Mus musculus: one gene and its partners. The protein of the gene in region 2 purifies or fractionates together with the protein of the main gene of each other region. This does not show direct contact. Links are inferred from orthologs where the notes say so. Each region holds a gene or a part of one and is shown on either strand. Other genes may lie near its edges. The genes, in order: Hnrnpu, Prmt8 and Ewsr1.

Region 1 (6,268 bases), on a different chromosome or scaffold from region 2:
AGCTCCAAGGTCTTCAGAAAAAAAAGGTTAGTGACAGGATTGATGAGACAATATCGGTCAACTAGACAAAGTTCTTTGAATACTTCTCTTATGAACATGTACCCATACCAAGTATTAATAGTAAGCAAAAAACAAAACAAAAAACCCTGTAACTCAAACTGCCTAGAACTTTCCATCTTCCTTTTATTTGAAGCATGCCTTGTATCTACTCTATTTGCTCAAATGCCAAGCTAAAAATCATACAAGGAAAAGGCTCTCCATGAGAGCAACGGAGTGTTTTGGACAAACCACAAAACTATCAAGCATTGCCAAGTACTGACCCAGGCACCAGAATATTTAATATAGAGAAGGAAAAGAAAGACTCTTAATGAAGTTTACCCAAAAGTAGCTTTAGGTTAAAGTACTGTTGCTAATCTGTCTATGGAAAACAGCTTAAGAATGAAAGCTGGAGTGTAGTTATCTGCTACAAATTTTGTTCACTTTAATAAAAAATATATTACATTTATGTAAAAAAGAAATTAGTTTAAGCTTATTCTACATTTTAAAAAAATCAATTATATTCACATTGATGTACACAGAACTAGTCTTTCACACCCAAGTGCATACTACCTAAAATGCCATTGAAATGTGATTAAAATATTTGCCATTAAAATAGTCTATAGACATTAGTGAGAACGCCTCTTTGCTACTATTAATCTACACCATTTTCTCAGTAACAAAGTTAACTAATTTATTACCTCTTAGGTGCTGATAATAAGTGCTCTACCACTGATCTACAATGGCAGCCACCTTCCCCAGCTTTTGGCTCTGCTGGTACTTAATTACAGAGAGAACACCTCACAATATAGAATATAGCCCAGGCTGCCCTCCAGCTTGTATCTTTTTTAAAAGCCCCTGTGTTGTCATGCCCAGCTTGATTATCAAGTCAATTCTGATCCTATCAATATTTGGGATTCTTTCAAAAACTTAAGCCATTTTTCCCCCTCTGAATGGATTGCCTCTTTTCCATTAAAGAAAACTTTCATGTACAGATGTAACTAGTGAGATCACTTCAGATAGCAAGCTTTCCCTCCCATCCAATTTTTCAGGCAATGCATGTATCATGTTCTACTTTGTCATTTGACCCTTTTTTGTAGCCATGCGTCTCTAGTACTAGGTCTATACAAGATTTTTGAAAGGCACAGATTAAAATATTAGGATAACCACTGAACTGAATTACTCCCAGAGTTAGGAATATATAATCATAATGTTACGTATGTAGGGCAGATACTCATACCAATGGTTTATAGCAGTTAACTAAGCCGAGAAGATACTACTTTGTAGTGTTATTTCTGAGGCAACCTGATTGCAGAAACTAGCCTGTAGTAATTCCTAGAGTATAATAAAGTATTAAAAAAAAAATCTGATTTAAAACAAAGTTCTACAGCAATTAATAATACAGGAAAACCTGAACTTACCAGAAGCAGGCTATAAACACTAACAACTAGACTAAATTCTAATTTTAGTTCTACAGTTTGACTCCTGATTCCTCACTTCACACAGTGAGGCTCCTTTACAAGATTTAAGTGTTCTGTGCAAACCCAATAAAATTACAATTAGGGGATCTAATTTATCACATAGCTAGTTAAGTTAGCAGCATTGTGTAGTAGTGAAATCAATGACTGGCTTGCATGATGGCTTCTAAAAGCATCTGTTCCCAAAGTTTCATGTATTATATGTCTATTATCAGGTGAGGACAGCCACTCACATTTCATAAACATGGTCAACTGAACATTAACTTCTCCCAGCCAGTACCTTTGCCCCTCATAAATGTTAAAAGCAGTCTTGGGGGGAGGGGAAGGGAAGAATTCAACTTTATATTATAAAATCAATCATCAGTATACATTTAAGTTTTTAAAACCTAAATGTTCCGAAGTACAGAGTAAAGAATAAGCTGTCCAGAAAGCACACACTTAAAGTTTCTCCTCTTGGGAGTCATACTATAAAGGGATTTAGACCTTGATGGCGAGAATCCCAAACAAGAGTAAAATGAATTCTTTTTATTGCAAACAAACGTCTAAATTAATTTCTCCACCCACTTTCTTTAGAAAGAAAAAGAAATCAGCAGGCTAAGGAGATACCCATTCAAGAACTGACATGATTAAAAATTAAGATATAAATGGGTGACTCACAATTTCATTAGCTTACAAAGATGGTGGAGTTAACTACTACAAGCACACTAGTAATACAGTATTTGTGGGAGAAGGGCATACAGACATAGCTAACTTCATATAGATCCCATTAGACAACTGGATTTACAACAAGTTTTTTTAATAAGAAATGGGCAAAGCCAGCTTTCTTTTCAGAATCAAAATGCAGAACAAATGGAAAATTTTATGGTATTTAACCTTCACAAGTTTGAGCCTCCACATATAATGCAACCAAGTTTACATTTTTGAACAGCCCTTCTACATACACTCCATCTTCTCAATCTTGGTTCCAAATTTTATCTTCATTCCCAATTATGCCAATTCCATTGTCAAACAGAAAAAAAATAGCCTTCCCGTTTTGTCAGAGATTACCCGTCCACTATTACCCGGCAGGCAGTCTAGAGAGGATGGAGTGTATCATGAGCAGTACAGAATCTTAATGCAATTCATGAGGACCCCTTAGTCCTTCCATGAATCTGGCTGCTAACATTGCTATTTTATTGTGACAATGACTCCCGACTGTTATTCTCTGTGAGAAATGGGGGAGTAAATGCTTAATAAAAGACACCAGGTACAAAGCAACATTTTACTTTTGTTGTGATAAAAAAAAAAGTCACATTTTACAGATAAAATGTAGAACCCTGAAATACTGACACATTCTCTTATCGTGCACAATGCTGAGGTTCTCTTACGATTCACTTTAAAACTGCAATTAAAAATGTACAAAAAAGAAAAGAAAAAAAAAAAAATCAACCCACAAAGCTTCTAAAAAAGGAACCCGCAGGCACTTCCTCTTGTGGAATGTTTAAAAAGTTAGCCTACTAAAGAAAACAGTCGACTTCTTGTGAAGGTTTTGGAGAAATATGTATCAGTTCGTTTTATTTGGGTATTCAATAATATCCTTGGTGATAATGCTGACTCCATGGCTTCTGACCCCAGAATTGCTGTAAGAGAAAATTTTGTTTTTAAAGAAAAAAACATCAATAAGCCACTCAAATTGTTTTTAGGAAATGACAATGATCTAATTCAGAGTAATTGCTGGAAACAAATTTATCACACTTAATTTCTACATCAGATCAGAGACTTAATTTTAATTTACCAATTACCCATATTATTTACCAATACACATTACCAAAGGAAACACAAGACTTAGGGTTAGTTTATGTAATTAAAACTATTAAAAATGACCATGTAGTAAAACAACCATATGTATTAAATATTACTTTATCTAAAGTAATGTTAAAATCCAGCCTATCCATGGTTACAGTAACAATAACACAGTAACAATTTATAGACACCTTGTCCTATTAAAGTATAAAACTCTTCAATTCCTAGGTAAGAACTTCCGTCTCAATCTTGTAAACATAACACATAATTTATGTAAGCATTTAAGAAACTACTTACACCCTGCTGCCACTGATTGTAGCCCTGAGATTGATTTTTGTAGCCACGATTATTTCCTCGTCCTCTGAAGTTCTATGAAAGTTTAAAAAAAAAAAAATCTGTTAAGAGCTCTCAAGCAATGGTTGGCTATTTTTTAGGGAGGGGTAAGCAGAAACCCTTATTCCCCAAGCTCACTGCTGTTATTAATGACCTGAAAAAGCAAAGTCCAATAACTAAATTGTTTCACAACTATGTCAACGCCGCCAGTTAAGACTCCCAACATCCATTCATCTACAACATTTCAGGGCAAATCAATACCTGGTTATAGTTCCCTCTGTTGGGCATTCCACCTCTGTTGTAATTCCCTCTGTTTGAGTAACCACCTCGGCCAGGAAAAACAGGGCCACGTGGGTATGGATAGCCAATTCCACCACTTCCACCGCCACCACCTCTCTGTGGCATGTTGCCTCTCCTATTATATCCACCACGATTCCCAGGAGCTAAATAAATGCACAAAGGGTTTAGTTTAGCTGTCACACATTTAAGGAAGAGTTCATACAGTTATCTCTTATCATTAATGAAAAAGTAAGCAATGCCCAGTTTTAAGTATACCCAATACACTCCCCTCATTGTGTATTAGTCAAACATGGCAGCAAATTATCAAAGAAACTAACTTCCTATTTAACTTAAAAAATAAACTCATTCATTTTCAAATTCCAAATACCAACAGGCAAAATTAACTTGCCTCCTCCTCTGAAATTGCCACCTCGCATATTGAATCCTCCACGGCCTCTATGGCCACCACCTCTGTTGAACTGGTTCTTGCCACTCTTATTCTTATTGCTTTTCTTTGAGCCAGTGTTTTGCTTCTTTTCTGGTGGCAGTGCCTTTTTGCTTTCTTCTTTATATTGCTCCAAAAGCTTTTGGGCTTCCTCTTTCTGAAGTTCAACATAGGTTATTTCATCAAAGCATTCTGCAACCTCTGGAAGGGTGAAGTTTCCTACAGGGAATCAAGTCAAACTTATAAATCAATTATGAACATGTAAATTCTATAAACTTTATCTCTGAATGTGTTTAATTCTTTCAACTTTCAGTTATCTGGTCACGGCCTTCATCACATTCTTTGTATAATAACCATACAAGTTTCTATTTAGCAGATTAATATAATCTCTAAGTGTGAAGATATTTTCTAGGTATAAATCCCCAAACCGTACTTAAGACAGTAAAAATAAAGTGAATTCCTTGCCTTTCATCTTGAGGACAGCATGTTCTGGTAGGTCCTTCCCCTCTACTTCTGCCTTCTTCTGTGTCCTCTGCTTATAGTCTTCATCTTTTGGGCACACTACAACAGCTTTCCGCTGGAAGCCTGCAAACAGGCACATTTTTCTTCTCTGGGCAGCAGCAGACACATTTGTCTTGAGGGGAAAATGTTAAAGACGTTAATGTTACACCTTACCAATTATCAGTTGATTTCTCTCTTTAACTTCAAAGCTACTACTTACCTGATCCAGAATAAAATTTCGCTTCTTACGGGCAGCAATTTCAATAAACTTGCCAAGACACTGTGGGGCTCTCTGCAACAGTGTGTTCAGTTTTCCAGTATCTGCCATTTGCTTCTTAAAACCTGCCACCTAACAAAATATTGTAAAAAGCTTAGAACTACAGGAACCAGGCATCATTTTATAAATACTCAGTTGTATCCTTTCAATAGTAACCAAAAAATACATAGTTTTTGGTACTGCTGTTAATGACTTATGAAAAAGCAGTCACTGGAAGATATAAAAAGTACTCCCAATTTGTTTTAGCAAAAATCATTTCCTCTAAGATATTAAAATAAATGAAAACACAAGCCAACATTAACCCAGGATAATTTCTGACCCTGTTTATTTGTCATAGTGCTGAAGACTAAAGCCAGGGTATAGTGTTTTGCTCGCCCTTTGCTCTACTCCCCACGCCTTCTCAACACTTTCATTTCAATTGTTACTTACCATCATCTTGTCCATAATCGTATTTGTTCCAAGAATGTTGTATTTCCCAGGGTTTTCAGCTGCATGTTTAGTAACCCAGGTAGTTTTTCCAGCTCCTGGCAAGCCAATCATCATTACAACCTACAGTGAGAAAAAGAAGCGCCATCACGACTTTGTCTCTCAGCAGTAAATAGTAACAAATCTATAACCCACTCATTTTTTACCCTTCTCCTAATGTCAACTGCAACACAATCCACACCATCACACAATAAAACTTACCTCACAATCCTTCTTCTCTTCAGGTCCTTTTGGTCCTCTAACTCGGTCCTCTAAGGGGACATTTTGGATAAAAGTACAGTCTTCAGGTATTGGAAAGTATGGCTTTTCCTTTTGACCGAAATTAAATTCAACTGCACAGTTATGGCAGAGAACATGTGGGAATAGTGGCCGGTCAGCAAGAACTTCCTTACTGATCTTAAAGGCAACACCAAGATCTTGTCCATTCTTCGCATAAGAGAGTTCAACTTCATCAGTTTCAAAGTTCTGTTGAATAGAATTTTTAAAAAATCAGATCAGAAGAAAGCAACAGATCCCATTATAGATAGTTTTGAGGCATTACATAGTTGCTGAGATTTGTACTCAGGACCTCTGGAAGAACAGTCAATAATCTTAACTGCTGAGCCATCGCTTCAGCTCTAAAAAAGATCAGTTTTAAACTCCCTGTAAGGT
Region 2 (6,358 bases):
GATGGAGGATCACAAAAGTATTCAGCATACATTCGGCTGCCTTGGAGTCTCCCATAGGGCAAGTATTCAAGGGCCTTGTTTACTATGCTAAGGACACCAGTACCCTGTAGGAAATGAGGTAGTTCCTAAGTTTTCAGAGAGCTGACCTACCACAAGCAGATTTGTCCTTTCAAAAGCTAGCCCTGCAAGGATGGGGAGGCTGGACCAGACATGGCCAGATGCTGGGAGCTAAGGTTCTAGCATGGAGATAAAGGGCCTGCATGTGCGTAGGCTGCAGAGAGTGGGAGTGGAGGCTCTACAGATGTCACAGGAAGCCCCAGCACCACACTGAAGATGTAGCTCAGTTGGTAGAGTTTGCCTAACATTCACAAAACCCTGGGTTTAATCTCCAGCACTGTGTAAATCCCACTGCAGTGGGGTCTCATGCCTAAGCACTCAGAAAGTAGAGTCAGAAAGATAAGGAGCTCAAGGCTTGCCTGGGGTATGGGAGACCCTGTCTCGAAAGAAAAAAGTGGCCCTAGGAGATTCTGGGATGGAAGACAGAGCAGGAAGTGAGGTCGGGGACTGCCCTGATGTTTCCCTACACCATACACAGATTATTGGCCACAAACTGAATCAGCTCATGAACAAGTTTAAGAGACCAAAATCAAAGGGGTGGAAGGTGTACTCAAGCCACAACGCCTCACACAGGAGGCTCCATGCCCTAGTATCTCACCTTGTTCCAGGTCTGAAGATGGTGGTCACAGTATATAGAGTCACAGCCTCAGTCTCAATACTACATGCCTCACCACCACCACTACCACCACTGCTACCACCACCACCACCAGCAGCACCACCACCTCCCTCCCCTGCCTGATAACTGCCATCCTCTCTGCCTCCCCTCCCCACCTTCCCTCCCCACTGCCTTTCCCTTCCAAAGCAATCGTCTCCTCCCACTCGCATGCACTCCCATTCACACATGGCATCTTGCTAGAAATAGCAAGAGTGGAGCAAAGAGCAATGGATTGAAAGTGAGGGCAATCCATACCCCAAGCCCGATTTAACCCGCCAGCTGGCCGGAGTCACTGCCTGACCTCAGGCTACTCTGTGGTCTCCAAGAAAATGGGAAACAAATACTAACCTTCGCTTCTCTCATAGCCTTAGTATGAGCACAGAACACAAGTAGTATGCTACCACCTGCAAGACGCAGGGAAAGATGTAACCGGGCTCTCCAGTCACAACTGTGTTCACTAATTTGTGAGCTCTTTGAGGGCAAAAGCCAGGCCACTAGGGTCTTAGAAACCTACTTTTCCGGGTACAGAGTGAGTACCTGCTAGAGACTGGACAGCAACCGTTGTCATTCCCGCCCCTCCCCCCCCCCGCCCACACACTCCACACATCCACAAGTGTGCTCTTGGTACCCCTAAGATGTGCAGGCAATGCAACCCCCTCAATACCCCACTTTGGAAGCACCACTTTGCTCTTAGCTTATTCCAAAAACAGCCTGCCCGTTCCTGGAGGAAAACCAAGCAGTAGTCACGAGGCCTGTATGCCTCACTGGGCACGTTTGACCAAGTCTGGGTTGCATCCTTTCTCCAAGGAAGTTGCTGAGAGCTGAACCTTCCCATGTTCCGCTTTGATTCATTGTCATCTAAGGGGTCTAAGACCAGCTGGGTTCTCTCTCTCTCTCTCTCTCTCTCTCTCTCTCTCTCTCTCTCTCTCTCTCTCTCTCTCTCTTCCTCCCTCCCTCCCTCCCCACTCCGTCGTCCTCCCCCCCCCCCTCCGCCCCTGCCACCACCGCTTCTACTGCTGTTTTCATTGATGCCTTGAGCAGAGCTGGCATGTGCGACTGCTGAGAAGGGGGAGCTCAGAGCAGCGGGGGAAGCGAGTAAAAATAGCCTGTCGCGCGTCGCTCTGCCTGCTCCGGACGCCTTTAACCCTCACCGAGGTGGAGAGAGCCGCAGCCGCCACTGCACACTGCGGAACGTGGCCCGGGTCTGCACTAGACCCCACACGCCAGTCCGGGTGATTGTGGACGAGGACCCACGAAAACTTTTTTTATTTTTATTTTCTATTTTTTTTTAAGACAAGTGAAGATGAGGTGGGATAGGGAAAAAGCAGGGAAGAGCTATAGCTACTGGGTTGCAGGGACTGCTACAAGCTGGCTGGCCCAACACTTCACCAGTGCGCGGCCTTGAGACTCCAAGCTATTTTTAGAAACCTGTTCCGCGGGTGGGCGATCAGAGGGCGGAGGGGGAGGGGAATGCTGAGCGTCTGGTGCTATTACTCGGTTTCAAAGACTCTGCTCCCAGGTTGGGGTGGGGAAGAGGATGGTCCAAGGAACGACATGCAGAATGGCTTTGCCCTAACTCAAGGAGAAGACATTAACTGCTGTATGCCCCTCATCTTCCAGCCCCAGATCGTGTTTGTTTCAAAATCGACAGTTGCCAGAAGCATGCTGCCTCTAGTGTCCAAGGAATGGGTATTCTTAAGCTTTGCTGCCTATACCGTGAGGCGGGGAATGAGTTGTGACCTCTAGGAAAGAAGGCCGGGAAAGGTCTTCACGTTGTTTTTGCTTTCCCGCAAGGCCTGGACAGTCTCCGCGCCACACCCCCATCTCAGCCCCACGCTGCATATGGGTTACCGTATGTGAAATGTACGGCAGCCCCACCAGACACTGGGCTATTAATAGAGCCCCGGAGTTTGCTCTGTGTCTTTTTCCTGCCACCGAATAAGGGATGATCACACACACGCCCCACTCCACCCCCACCTCGGCGCACAGTTCCTCTGTGAAGGTAAGGGGGCTGCCCATGCCGATCCCCTCCATGACTACAGGTGCCCAAAACCAGGGAAAAATCCCATTGTGATGACAGCTGGGTCAGAGCGAGGCGAAAGAACACACTTGCTCGGGACGCAAAGACCCGCTGGGCTCTCTGCAGCTCAAGGCCAACTCCGGAGTAGAGAAAGGGCAGATACGGGGCGGCCGTAAGGACTGCCGAAGACGGAGGGCAAGAGTATCATTTGCGGAGCTAGAGCGGCCTCCTTAAAAGCTGCTGCGGGACAAGTGGCCGCAGACCGGTTTCGCGCTGCAGCCCAGGGCGCACAACCCCCGCTGCTTGTGCGGGCTAAGCTGCGGCAGGCGCGGGCGCTGTCCCTGGTGCTGAATGGGGCCGCGGTCGGTGCGCCCTCCCAGGGTTCCGCTCTCCCTCGGCGCCTTAAGCACCCTAGGACTGCAGACCTCCGGCCCAGCTGTGGACTGGGGACTGCGGGGGAGGTCAGGTGCAGGTGCTTAGTACTGCCACCAGGTCGGCCCCCTAAGGCCGGGAGCTCTCCGCGGTGTTGCAGGGACCCATAGCTTGGGGACCACCTCGAGCTTGAAGGGTAAAGCCCAGGTAGCGGTGGGAGATAATCGGTGCACTGCAGGGAGCAAACCTGGCCCTAATATAACCCACTCCAGCTCTTCGTAAAGCCGGGATCCGGGATCACTATCGGAATCCTGTGCACAGGGGCAGGGGAGCCGGGCTGCCCAAGGTTTGGGACTTAGGGGAACAGGAAGGGAGCAGAGGGTGGCAGGAGAGGGTGATGGGGCTGAAAATTTAGATTTTCAAGGGGGAAAGGAACTGAGACGTGCACCGTCGCCCCCCACACACACTCCTACACTTCTCTCTCTCTCTCTCTCTCTCTCTCTCTCTCTCTCTCTCTCTCTCTCTCTCTCGGCAGGGACAAGCGGGATGGGGAAAGTTTGGCACCACGGCGTTGGTGGTGGCAGCAAGCAGCGGCGGCACACAGGGGTCCCAGTGGGAGGCAGGGTCGCTGAAAACCCCGGCCCGGTCGCCTCCTTACCTCGGTGCTTTCGACTGCATTCTCCGCCATTTTCCTCCGGAGGAGCAGGCAGCGGGAGGAGTGTTTCATGCCCATAAGAGCCAACAAGGGTTTGGGGATTCGAGATAGTAAAGAACGAGAGACGGCTGATGTGGCTTTAAAAGAGAGCCTAAGAATGCAAGAGGAGGGGGGAAAAAATCCCAGCCAGCCCCTCTCCCGGAGCGTCCTCCGCGACAATCGAGCTCTGTGGAGTCCCTCCTGCGGTCGCCACTTTGTTCACGTTTCCTCGCTCTTCATCTGCCTCGCATCCCTTCGCACACTTGCAAGTTCTGGTCGCGCTCACGACCCCCTCCGCGCCCCTCTCCCCTGCGCGGCGGGCTGGGCGGGAGGGAGGGAGGCGGCCCCGCGGGCTCGCCGGCAGAGGCAGCGGCTCCGAAGTCCGGCAGGCGGGAGGCGGACGGCAACTCTCCCAACTTCTGCCGATCGCTGGGCGAAGCAACACGCGTCCTGCTCGGCGCTCCCGGGGGCTGAGCCGGTGAGTGGGGGCGGGGTGGGAGGTGCGCGGGAGCGAGCGGGTGGCGGGGCGCTGACGGCGGAGACCCCCAGCCCGCCCCCGTGCCCGGGACCGCGGGGTCTGGGGGCCGCCTGCGCTCCGCTGCGCTCCTGGCGCGGCGCACACCTGGCGCGGGGGCTAGGGCTGCGCGCACGCTGCGGGGCCGCGCGCCAGGCTCCGGGAAGCAGGCGTCCACGAGGCTGCTGGAGGGTCTCAGCCCAGTGCAAGTCCTTCTAACGAGGGCAAGCACCGGACAAGACTCAGCCACGGTTACCAAATGTCTACGCCCCTCACCCCTCCCCAGCCCCCCCACCCGGTCGATTCCTGGATCCTTCCTGCGCGGATTACTGTTTGGGGCATGAACAGGGTGGGTGTCTGGATGGGAGGGGGAAGTCCTCAACTCCTTCAACTCTAGGTCCTCTCTATCTAGCTTTTCTTCACCCTCAGGACCCAAGACCAGAAGGCCTTCAAACCCCTCTCAGGAGGACCGGGTTGAAGTGAAGGTGGCTGCCTGAGGTGGCTTGGGAAAACAACCAGGAACAAATCAATAAAAGGGTCCGCGGTCTAGCTCCCCTACCCCTGTCTAGCCTGTCAGCCCCCACTCCCGGGGGGACACACATCTCTCCCCCTCCCCTACAGCCCCTCCCCCACCTTCACCCTCTCCTGACGTCCCTTTTATGGGAGAGAGCCGTGAGGATGTCACGTACCCATTAGGATTCTCTCGATCCTTTTTTAAGGGAGAGTTTGGGCGGCAGCGGGGGGTGTGAATTTTTATACAATGCATTCCTGTCTTCACTTTGAGAGCTTTTTTTCTCTCTTTCGGGCCATCTGTCAGGCATTGAGGGATAGAACAATGGGGGAGGGAGGCCATACTCAGGACTCTGTAGCTGGCTATCTCCGGGAAAGCTGAACCTTCAGGCTTTCTGGCCCACAGGTCAAGGTCAGGGACCGCACAGATGTGCCAGGAGCTTTCTTCCCGCTTCATCTCAGTCCTTAGTTGAGTTATTTAAACCAATCGCCCTGTTTAGTCTGATCATAGCCTTTGATAGCCAAGAAGTGTAAGAGTGACTGTCCTCAACTAACCCAGGTTCATTGAGGAAAAGGGCCAAAACCCAGCTCGGCTCACGGTGATAGATACTTCTATCAGACCAAGATCCTCAGGCAAAGAGAAGAGACATGGCCGTGAGCAGAGGTGAGGAGTAAAAAACGGGAAGAGGAGGGAGATGAGAAGGATTAAAGAAAATATAGCAAGAAGCTTGGGTTAACCGCACTGATAATCCCAAAACAAGAGTAAATTCCCCTCAACCTTCTCAAACCACAGACCTGAATTCGAGTTGGGCATGAATGAGCAGTCTTTGGCAATGCCTGATCCTTCTTCACTCCCATCCTGCCATCCTGCCATCCTGCCACACACAGTATGGAGGAGGGGACATAACTGCATCTAAAAAATGACTTTTACCTCCTGCTTTTCTTCCCCTACTCGTCTTCTCTCAGATAAGGCTCTGAGATGCTGGATCAAAAGAGGCTTAGTACGTATGCAATCAAATAAGACTAGAATAGCAAGATTCCCCACCCACACGTTGGTCCAGTCCTCTTACAGGTAAGGACTCCGGATGAAAGAGAAGGGGGCAATTGTCTAAGGTCCCTCGACAAGCTGCAGGAGCTTCAGTAAACCAGCTCCCCAGCCTCTTGACTTCCAACCCAACCCTGTCCCCACCCCACACTCCTTCTGCTTGTTCATCCATTCTGTGACTAACAGGGGAGGAGGGGAGCTGAAACAGGCTCCCACCGAAATAGGCTGCTGTTGTGCGTGATTATGTTGCTATGAGAACCTCAGTGGGGGTGTTTCCTCAGTTCTCTGTTGAAATCTTTTTACTGTGCTTGGCTTCTCCCCAAGTACAGACACAGCTCCTGTTGGAATGGGAAAGGGACATGGAGAGCTGTGTTTTTACAGCAAGAGTTTGCTATGCCAACTCAAAGGCAGCCTGGGGCACAGAGGTATCT
Region 3 (6,368 bases), on a different chromosome or scaffold from region 2:
TGAACTATGGAGGTGTTGAGTAATGAAAATAAATGCCTATGTTTTCAAAACATCACGGAATTAAAGCTACCTACGTTTTGGGCATTTTTTTAATGCAGAGAATTAAAAAAAATACGCAATTATTTCCTCTCCACAAGAATACGTATCTTGTTTGGTGTTCAAAGACAGCACTGTCATTAAGACAGAACAAAAGGGTCCTTTCTTTTCCAATCAGAAAGTAGTCCCTCACCCAAATGTAACAGCTGACATCTTTCTTCATGGAAGGCTCTGGCATACGCCATGCAAAGTCTGCTTCACAATCCCCTAGCCAACAGTACTTTCCTGAACTCATTCTGCCCCCCCTTTGGCTTTTTCTGAGACGGGGTGCAGCCCTGGCTGTCCTGGAACTCACTCTGTAGATCGGGATGGCTTTGAAACACCCGCCTTTGCCCCACAAGTGTTGGGACTAAAGGCCTGCACCAACACCACCTGGCCTGAACTCACCTCTTAAAATCGACTCTTTCAACCTTTCTGCACCTCATGGGACTACTTTCCTTCTACACTTTTAAATTCAGAGCTCTGATTACCAATAGTATCAGTAAACTGTTCAAAAGATATCTACAATGAAGAAAATAATCCTCTAACAAAATTCTGAAGCATTTCCAATAAAGCTACATTTTCTGTGGTGGTGAAGTAGTGGTTCTGAGATAGGATCTAACTACTTAGCTGGCTGACCTTAATTAGTTATATAGACCAGGCTAGCCTCAAACTTGCTACAGACCCCGTATGGCTGTCTACAACTAGTGTTGAAATTATAGGTGTGTACCTCCATGCCTACTTGCTACCTTCCTTTGTCTACCTTTCTGCCGTTTATTTGTTTGTTTATTTATTTATTTATAGACAGGGTCTCACTATGTAGCTTTAGCTGGCCTCAAACGCTGCGCTCCCCAATCTAGGATTAGATGATGACTGGCTACTTGCCACATTCTTTATATGAAAAACAAACAACAAAGCAAATACTGCAACCTACATTTTGTTGAGGTTTCTGTGTAAAAACGACTTTTTGAGTCATTGGCATTAAGTTTGATGTTTACAAAGACTTACACAAGAGCAGTTATGTAAAATTGGCAATGCTGATACAGAACAGCCAACCACTTGAGACGAGGGTGCTGCCAAAGGATTTGGTAGGCTAAGGAAAAAGCGACCCCCCCCCCATGTTTATCTACCTACAAGCATGACACTGAAGCAATGGTCAGATAATTTAACAATTGAAAAAATAAGTCTTTAAATGCCCGGATACGTAAACACTTCACACACACACACACACACACACACACACACACACACAGAGCAGGCTGAGAGATTATGATGTAGGGGCATCCTAGAATGCTAATGTTTTACTTTTTGTTCTGGTAGTTATTTAGAGACTGTAATTCTGCTTTACTGGACACACTCTATAGTTACTGTTCTACAAGATACAGAGGAGGGAAACCATTACTCCCCTTAGGCAGTGGCTTGCTTCAGGGCAGCCATTAGCCAAGCTGAATAGGAAGGTTTAGGCTACATAATTCCTGTAGCTAGCAAGGGTAAGTTTGTTGGGACCAAAAAAAAAAGTTATTTTAAGAACTGAAAGGCTCAAGAAAAAAAATTTTTTTTCTAGGACAGGATTTCTCTGTGTAGCCCTGGCTGTCCTCAAACTCAGAGACCACCTACCTCTGCCTTCCCAGCACCGGTGCATCGCCACCGACCCTTTAAAAAAAGTCTAAAACTAAGTTTTTCAGGAAAGCCCTTAATAAAGTCCCCTCAGCAGGGCCAGGACTGTGGGTATAGCAGAGCACACTTTTCAACTTAAATTTGGTTCAGGGTGCTATCAACATTTTCTGATAACAAAGATGACTAAAAAGTGGCAATGATCTATCAAGCAGAAAAACTGCAATTGCCTTCTTGGGCTTTAGAGGTTAAGAGAAGGGTAAAAGGACCACCAAAGAAACCATTTTCCACTAGGATATATTGGACTGTAGTCGTATCTCAGTCTTCTCTTAGGGACACTTTGGGTAGCCTGGTACCAAAAGCAAGCTGTTTACTAACTACATCGTTTGCGTCGTCAAATTGTGATGCTGGAAGCTTTCCTAAGCCAAATGAAGAACCCAGAGCTTTTCCTGTCACCCCCACTTGTTTTCTCCTCCTGCCTCCAAGGCCACATCACCAGACCCTAGATTCCGCTAGAAGCAAAAACAAAAACAAACAAAAAACCCGCCACTGTGCCAGTTAACTGTATTCTAAACTGCAGGTGAGGGCTAGGCTACACTTATTCTCTCGGTAAGGACCACAACATAACCATCACATTCTAGAGTTCCCGCCCTGGACTTTCAAAATCCGCTATGGGTCTCTTCCCCTGGCCTCAATAGGGCCAAGAAATAAATCAGCCGGCTAGCTTAACGAGCAGGCCTACAGAAACGTGGCGTGCCGAGGCTTTTCTGCCTCTCCTGGATCAAAGCTGCTAGAAATCTCTTTCTGGAAAAGAGTCTCCTCTCCGGATCCAGACGGACCTTGTTATACAACCGATCCCCCGCGCCGGTTGCTGAGAAAAGGACACTGGGAAGCCACTGCTTTTTGGGTAGGGAAGGAGGTGGAGTTAACTCATGATTAAATCGAAGCCTCTTGAGTGGGGAGCACGAAGATTTAGGGGAACCAACTAGGTCCTCCGAGGGGGCAGCTTGGTCGGGCCGGGCCAGGCCTGGGGGATAATGGGGCTCCCCTCTTAAGCCGGCGCCCCTCAGCTTACACATTCGCGACGGCTTTTTGTTTGTTTTTCTGAGTCCCTACACAGTAAACACTTGCCCTGGGGCTAGCGATGGGAGGAGACGTTCCACGGGAAACCGGCCACGGCTTCTCGAGCCGCCATCAGACACCTCGCTTCACGCGCCTTCGGGGTGATGGGCTCCAGGCCCAGCCGCGGTCCCCTTCGGGCCCTCGGAGGCCCTAGGCCCGGCCCACGTGGCGAGAGACCCGGAGCACCCGGCCCCGACAACCACCACACAAAGGAGGCCTGGACGGGCTCTGCACGCCTCAGCTACCGCGAGGCCCTCGCGCGCAACGCGGCCGCCAAAAGGTTCCAGAACCAGCCCGCCTAGTGGGGGAGGGGAAGGGAACGCGGATCCCCCACCCCCACCCCCGAGCTCGTCGGGCCGCGGCGGGAACTCCAACCCCTTTCGGCGACTTCACTCAGTCATCCCTGCCACCCCCAGAGACGAGCGCCTCCCAGTCTGGGTGTCCCAGCTGTCGCCGGCGGGACCGCGATCCCACTCCGCTTACCCGTGGACGCCATTTTCTCGCCTTCCTCCTCGTTCTCTCAACGTCCGTCTCCTTCTCGCGTTCCCCCTAGGCGCCGCACTGCGCAGGCGCGAAACCCGCAACCTCGGACGCTACCATCGGGCCAGGCCTCGGGGGTGGCCGAAGAGGAGCGAACCGGAGCTCTTCGGCTCTTCGCTCCCGAAACCGTTGACCCGATCCTCTCCCAAAGAGCCGGACGTGACGAGTGGTCTAAAAAAAAAAGGCGCCTCGGGGGCCAGCGCGCCAGTGAGCGAGGGTTACCCACGAACCCGAGAGCTCCTTGGCGCGAGGCGCGGTGGCTCGGAATGGTTACGCCCGCTGGCTCTAGGGACCGTCTCTGAAGAGTCTGCCCTGGAGGGAGACGGAGGCTGGCGGGAGGGCTGGGGGAAGGGATCCCGGCCGGCCTGAAACAACTGCTGACTAATCGGCGGGCGGGATCACGCGCCTCTGTGTGCGTGCAGCGGGTTTCGGGCACCGAGGGCTCGGCCTGGAACCGGCGGCCGGACTTACCGGGCGGGCCCCCCTGCTCGGTTTTCTAGGGTGGGTGGGGGTGGGAGGACATGCTCCCCAGGCCCCTGGACGCGTGGCCTGAGCGGGCGGGGGAGGGGACCGAGGGCCGTCGGCTTGGGAGGGAGGCCGGGAATGCCGCGCCCGACCCCAGTAACGGTCGGGGTTGAGAAGCCCTGTGATCGTCCTTCAACCCATCCCCTTGTTTCAACAGAAAACCCAGAACCCACGAAATTGAGTTCTTTCCTTAAAGTTACAAAGCTGAATGCGACCCAGACCCCGGGCCTCCCCTCTCTGTACACCGCCCGGAAGCTTCGCCACACTGTCCTTGCCTTCCCACTCTGTCCTCCTGGCTTCCCTGCAAGGTAGGCAGGGTGTGATATGCATAGCTCTGAGGTCTCTGACAAGGGCTCCAGAAAGACACTGAGGCGGATTGTTGGCGATTGGTGGGGTTTTTGGTTTTGCTTTTCTGAGAGTTACTGACACAGTGGACAGACACAGACAAACATTAGCATGGCGGGCGAGGACTCGGAAGAAACCAGGGTCCATGTGGGAGAAGTAGGCGTGTCGCACCCTTCTGAGGATGGGCGTGGCTTCAATGCCGGAGCTTCTGGCCCGGGGCAGGCAGGGAAGGGAGCTGGGAGCCCGATGTGTAGCCCCCCAGTTCCCCATTTTATGTAAAATCACCTTCAGGTGAGAGATCCAGGCGTCCGAGTCTGTTAGTTCGCCACTCATAGTGTCTCACTAGAGGCCGGTCGGAATCTGAAGGGGAGAAAGGCGTGTATTGTGTTCTAGGAGGAGCAGCTGGATTCATTATTGGATTCTTACAAGTTACGTTTTATTAATTGAAGATATGGTTGCAGGAGTGTTACGGCTTGCCTATGATGTATGAGGCCCTAGTTTCCATTCCTATCGCCAAGAAAGAGAAGAGACTGGTCCAGAGGACTCGAGGCCCAGTTCCCTATGTCCATGGACCTGTCCCCTAGTGCCCAGGGATGGAATGGTTGTAAGAAGGTGCAAGAGGAAGCTTCATTTTAGGTGACCCTGCCTCCAGGTAAGGGTGAAATCTGCCTGCTTTTCTGAACTTCAACCCAGTACCAAAAATAAAGGGTGGAGTTCACCCCAGCAGGACCTGGGACTATGCTAATATGTCTTCCAATGAACACCAGCCTTGAGTCTGGAGACAAGCCATTTGAGTGGGGGGGGGGGGGAGCCAAACTTTGCTCATTAGGATAAAATTCACAATATGGGAAGGGAACATTGACAATTCAGAGTGAGTAGGAGATGGCCTATTGAGGGATGGAGGCAAGGCCAGGCAGAGGAGATTTTCATATTTGGCATCTGCAAGGGAAAGCCTTGACAAGGAAGCTAAGTCGAATCGCTTTCTGCCCTGAATCAGCTCAGTAGGAGACTCAGAGGACTGCCCAGGAATGGTGGGAGGGCCTGGAGGAAAGGCAGTGTGAGAGGAGAGTACAGGAGAGAAGCTATGCTCGGTGGGCAGGGAACGACCATGGGGTCAGAGTTTGTAGCAGCTGCTGCGCCTTTACTTGTAAGCTATGTGCCTCCCATGAGTCATCTCTCCAGGTGGTGCTTTGGGTTGGTTTGAGGAAGAGCTGGAGCCTGAACCAGGTGCAATGGTGCAGATTTGTGACCCAGCACTTAACACCTAGTCAGGACAATCTTCTATCCCAGGCTGTGGATAGGGTTACCTGATGAGATTTGTTTAAAGCAACACCAAAAAAAGCTTTAAAAAAGAGAAAGTTGTGGGCCTCCACTCTATCCTTTTTCTTACCATCTGTAAGGGAAATGTATCAGAATCCGCAGTTCACAGATTAGGACGCTTGCCCAGGGACGCACAGCAGAAAGCTGCAGCACACACTGGAGTATCCTTGGCAAAATGAGGCTAGGGTCAGGGTTGGGGAGGAAATAGTGCCACGGTTGTAATCACCTTGTAAAGCTTGGAATGCGGACTCTTGTAGCCCACTTTCAGCCTTACACTGCTTGTACCATTAGCTGTCCTCGCCCCTCACCCCCACCCCCTGTTCAAAGGGGCACCTGAGGCCATCAGGACTCCCTAAGGCTGGGAACACTGGAAAGGAGGCAGGAAGTGGGAAGCCTGAGCTGGCCTTGACTTAGCCGTTCCCAGGGGAATTACCCATCTTTTTGGCAGTGAATGGCCCCAGTTTAACTTGTCTGGTCCTGTATCTTCCACTAAGACTTAAGGCCCACCAGACTCGGTTTTGTTTTTGAAACTGGGTCTCATATCACCCAGGCTAGTTTTTTAACTCAACATGTAGCCAAGAACTCCTAACTTTTTCTTTTATTCTTTGTCCAGCACTGGGAAGCAAATCCAGGTGCCTGTGCATGGCTAGGTGAGTACGCTCCCACTGTCTGCATCTCTAATGACCTTGTACTCCAGTCCTCCATGTCTCCACTCCTGAGTGCTAGCTAGCATCACAGCTGTGCACGGCCGAGCTGGTCCCATCCCAGACACGTGGGCAGGTAGGATAGGAAGGTGGCTAATAAGAACAGGGGTTGGGACTTGAGCC

The links.
Region 1: the proteins of Prmt8 (region 2) and Hnrnpu purify together in Homo sapiens (affinity purification with mass spectrometry; 3 studies listed by BioGRID and IntAct, counting the BioPlex papers as one, with this or other methods). This does not show direct contact. The link is inferred for Mus musculus from reciprocal best matches to the Homo sapiens genes PRMT8 and HNRNPU.
Region 3: the proteins of Prmt8 (region 2) and Ewsr1 purify together in Homo sapiens (affinity purification with mass spectrometry; 3 studies listed by BioGRID and IntAct, counting the BioPlex papers as one, with this or other methods). This does not show direct contact. The link is inferred for Mus musculus from reciprocal best matches to the Homo sapiens genes PRMT8 and EWSR1.

Annotation. Positions count from the first base shown.
Region 1 is NC_000067.6:178,326,275-178,332,542, forward strand, and holds the end of Hnrnpu (heterogeneous nuclear ribonucleoprotein U), read right to left. Parts: intron 6,083-6,268; coding exon 5,819-6,082; intron 5,681-5,818; coding exon 5,561-5,680; intron 5,204-5,560; coding exon 5,075-5,203; intron 4,988-5,074; coding exon 4,819-4,987; intron 4,573-4,818; coding exon 4,318-4,572; intron 4,073-4,317; coding exon 3,891-4,072; intron 3,666-3,890; coding exon 3,594-3,665; intron 3,134-3,593; coding exon 3,080-3,133; 3' UTR 460-3,079; downstream 1-459. UniProt on the Homo sapiens protein: DNA- and RNA-binding protein involved in several cellular processes such as nuclear chromatin organization, telomere-length regulation, transcription, mRNA alternative splicing and stability, Xist-mediated transcriptional silencing and mitotic cell progression.
Region 2 is NC_000072.6:127,764,851-127,771,208, forward strand, and holds the start of Prmt8 (protein arginine N-methyltransferase 8), read right to left. Parts: upstream 4,310-6,358; 5' UTR 3,898-4,309; coding exon 3,823-3,897; intron 1-3,822. UniProt on the Homo sapiens protein: S-adenosyl-L-methionine-dependent and membrane-associated arginine methyltransferase that can both catalyze the formation of omega-N monomethylarginine (MMA) and asymmetrical dimethylarginine (aDMA) in proteins such as NIFK, myelin basic protein, histone H4, H2A and H2A/H2B dimer.
Region 3 is NC_000077.6:5,095,715-5,102,082, forward strand, and holds the start of Ewsr1 (RNA-binding protein EWS), read right to left. Parts: upstream 3,383-6,368; 5' UTR 3,308-3,382; coding exon 3,295-3,307; intron 3,092-3,294; exon of another isoform or gene 2,568-3,091; intron 1-2,567. UniProt on the Homo sapiens protein: Binds to ssRNA containing the consensus sequence 5'-AGGUAA-3'. Might normally function as a transcriptional repressor. EWS-fusion-proteins (EFPS) may play a role in the tumorigenic process.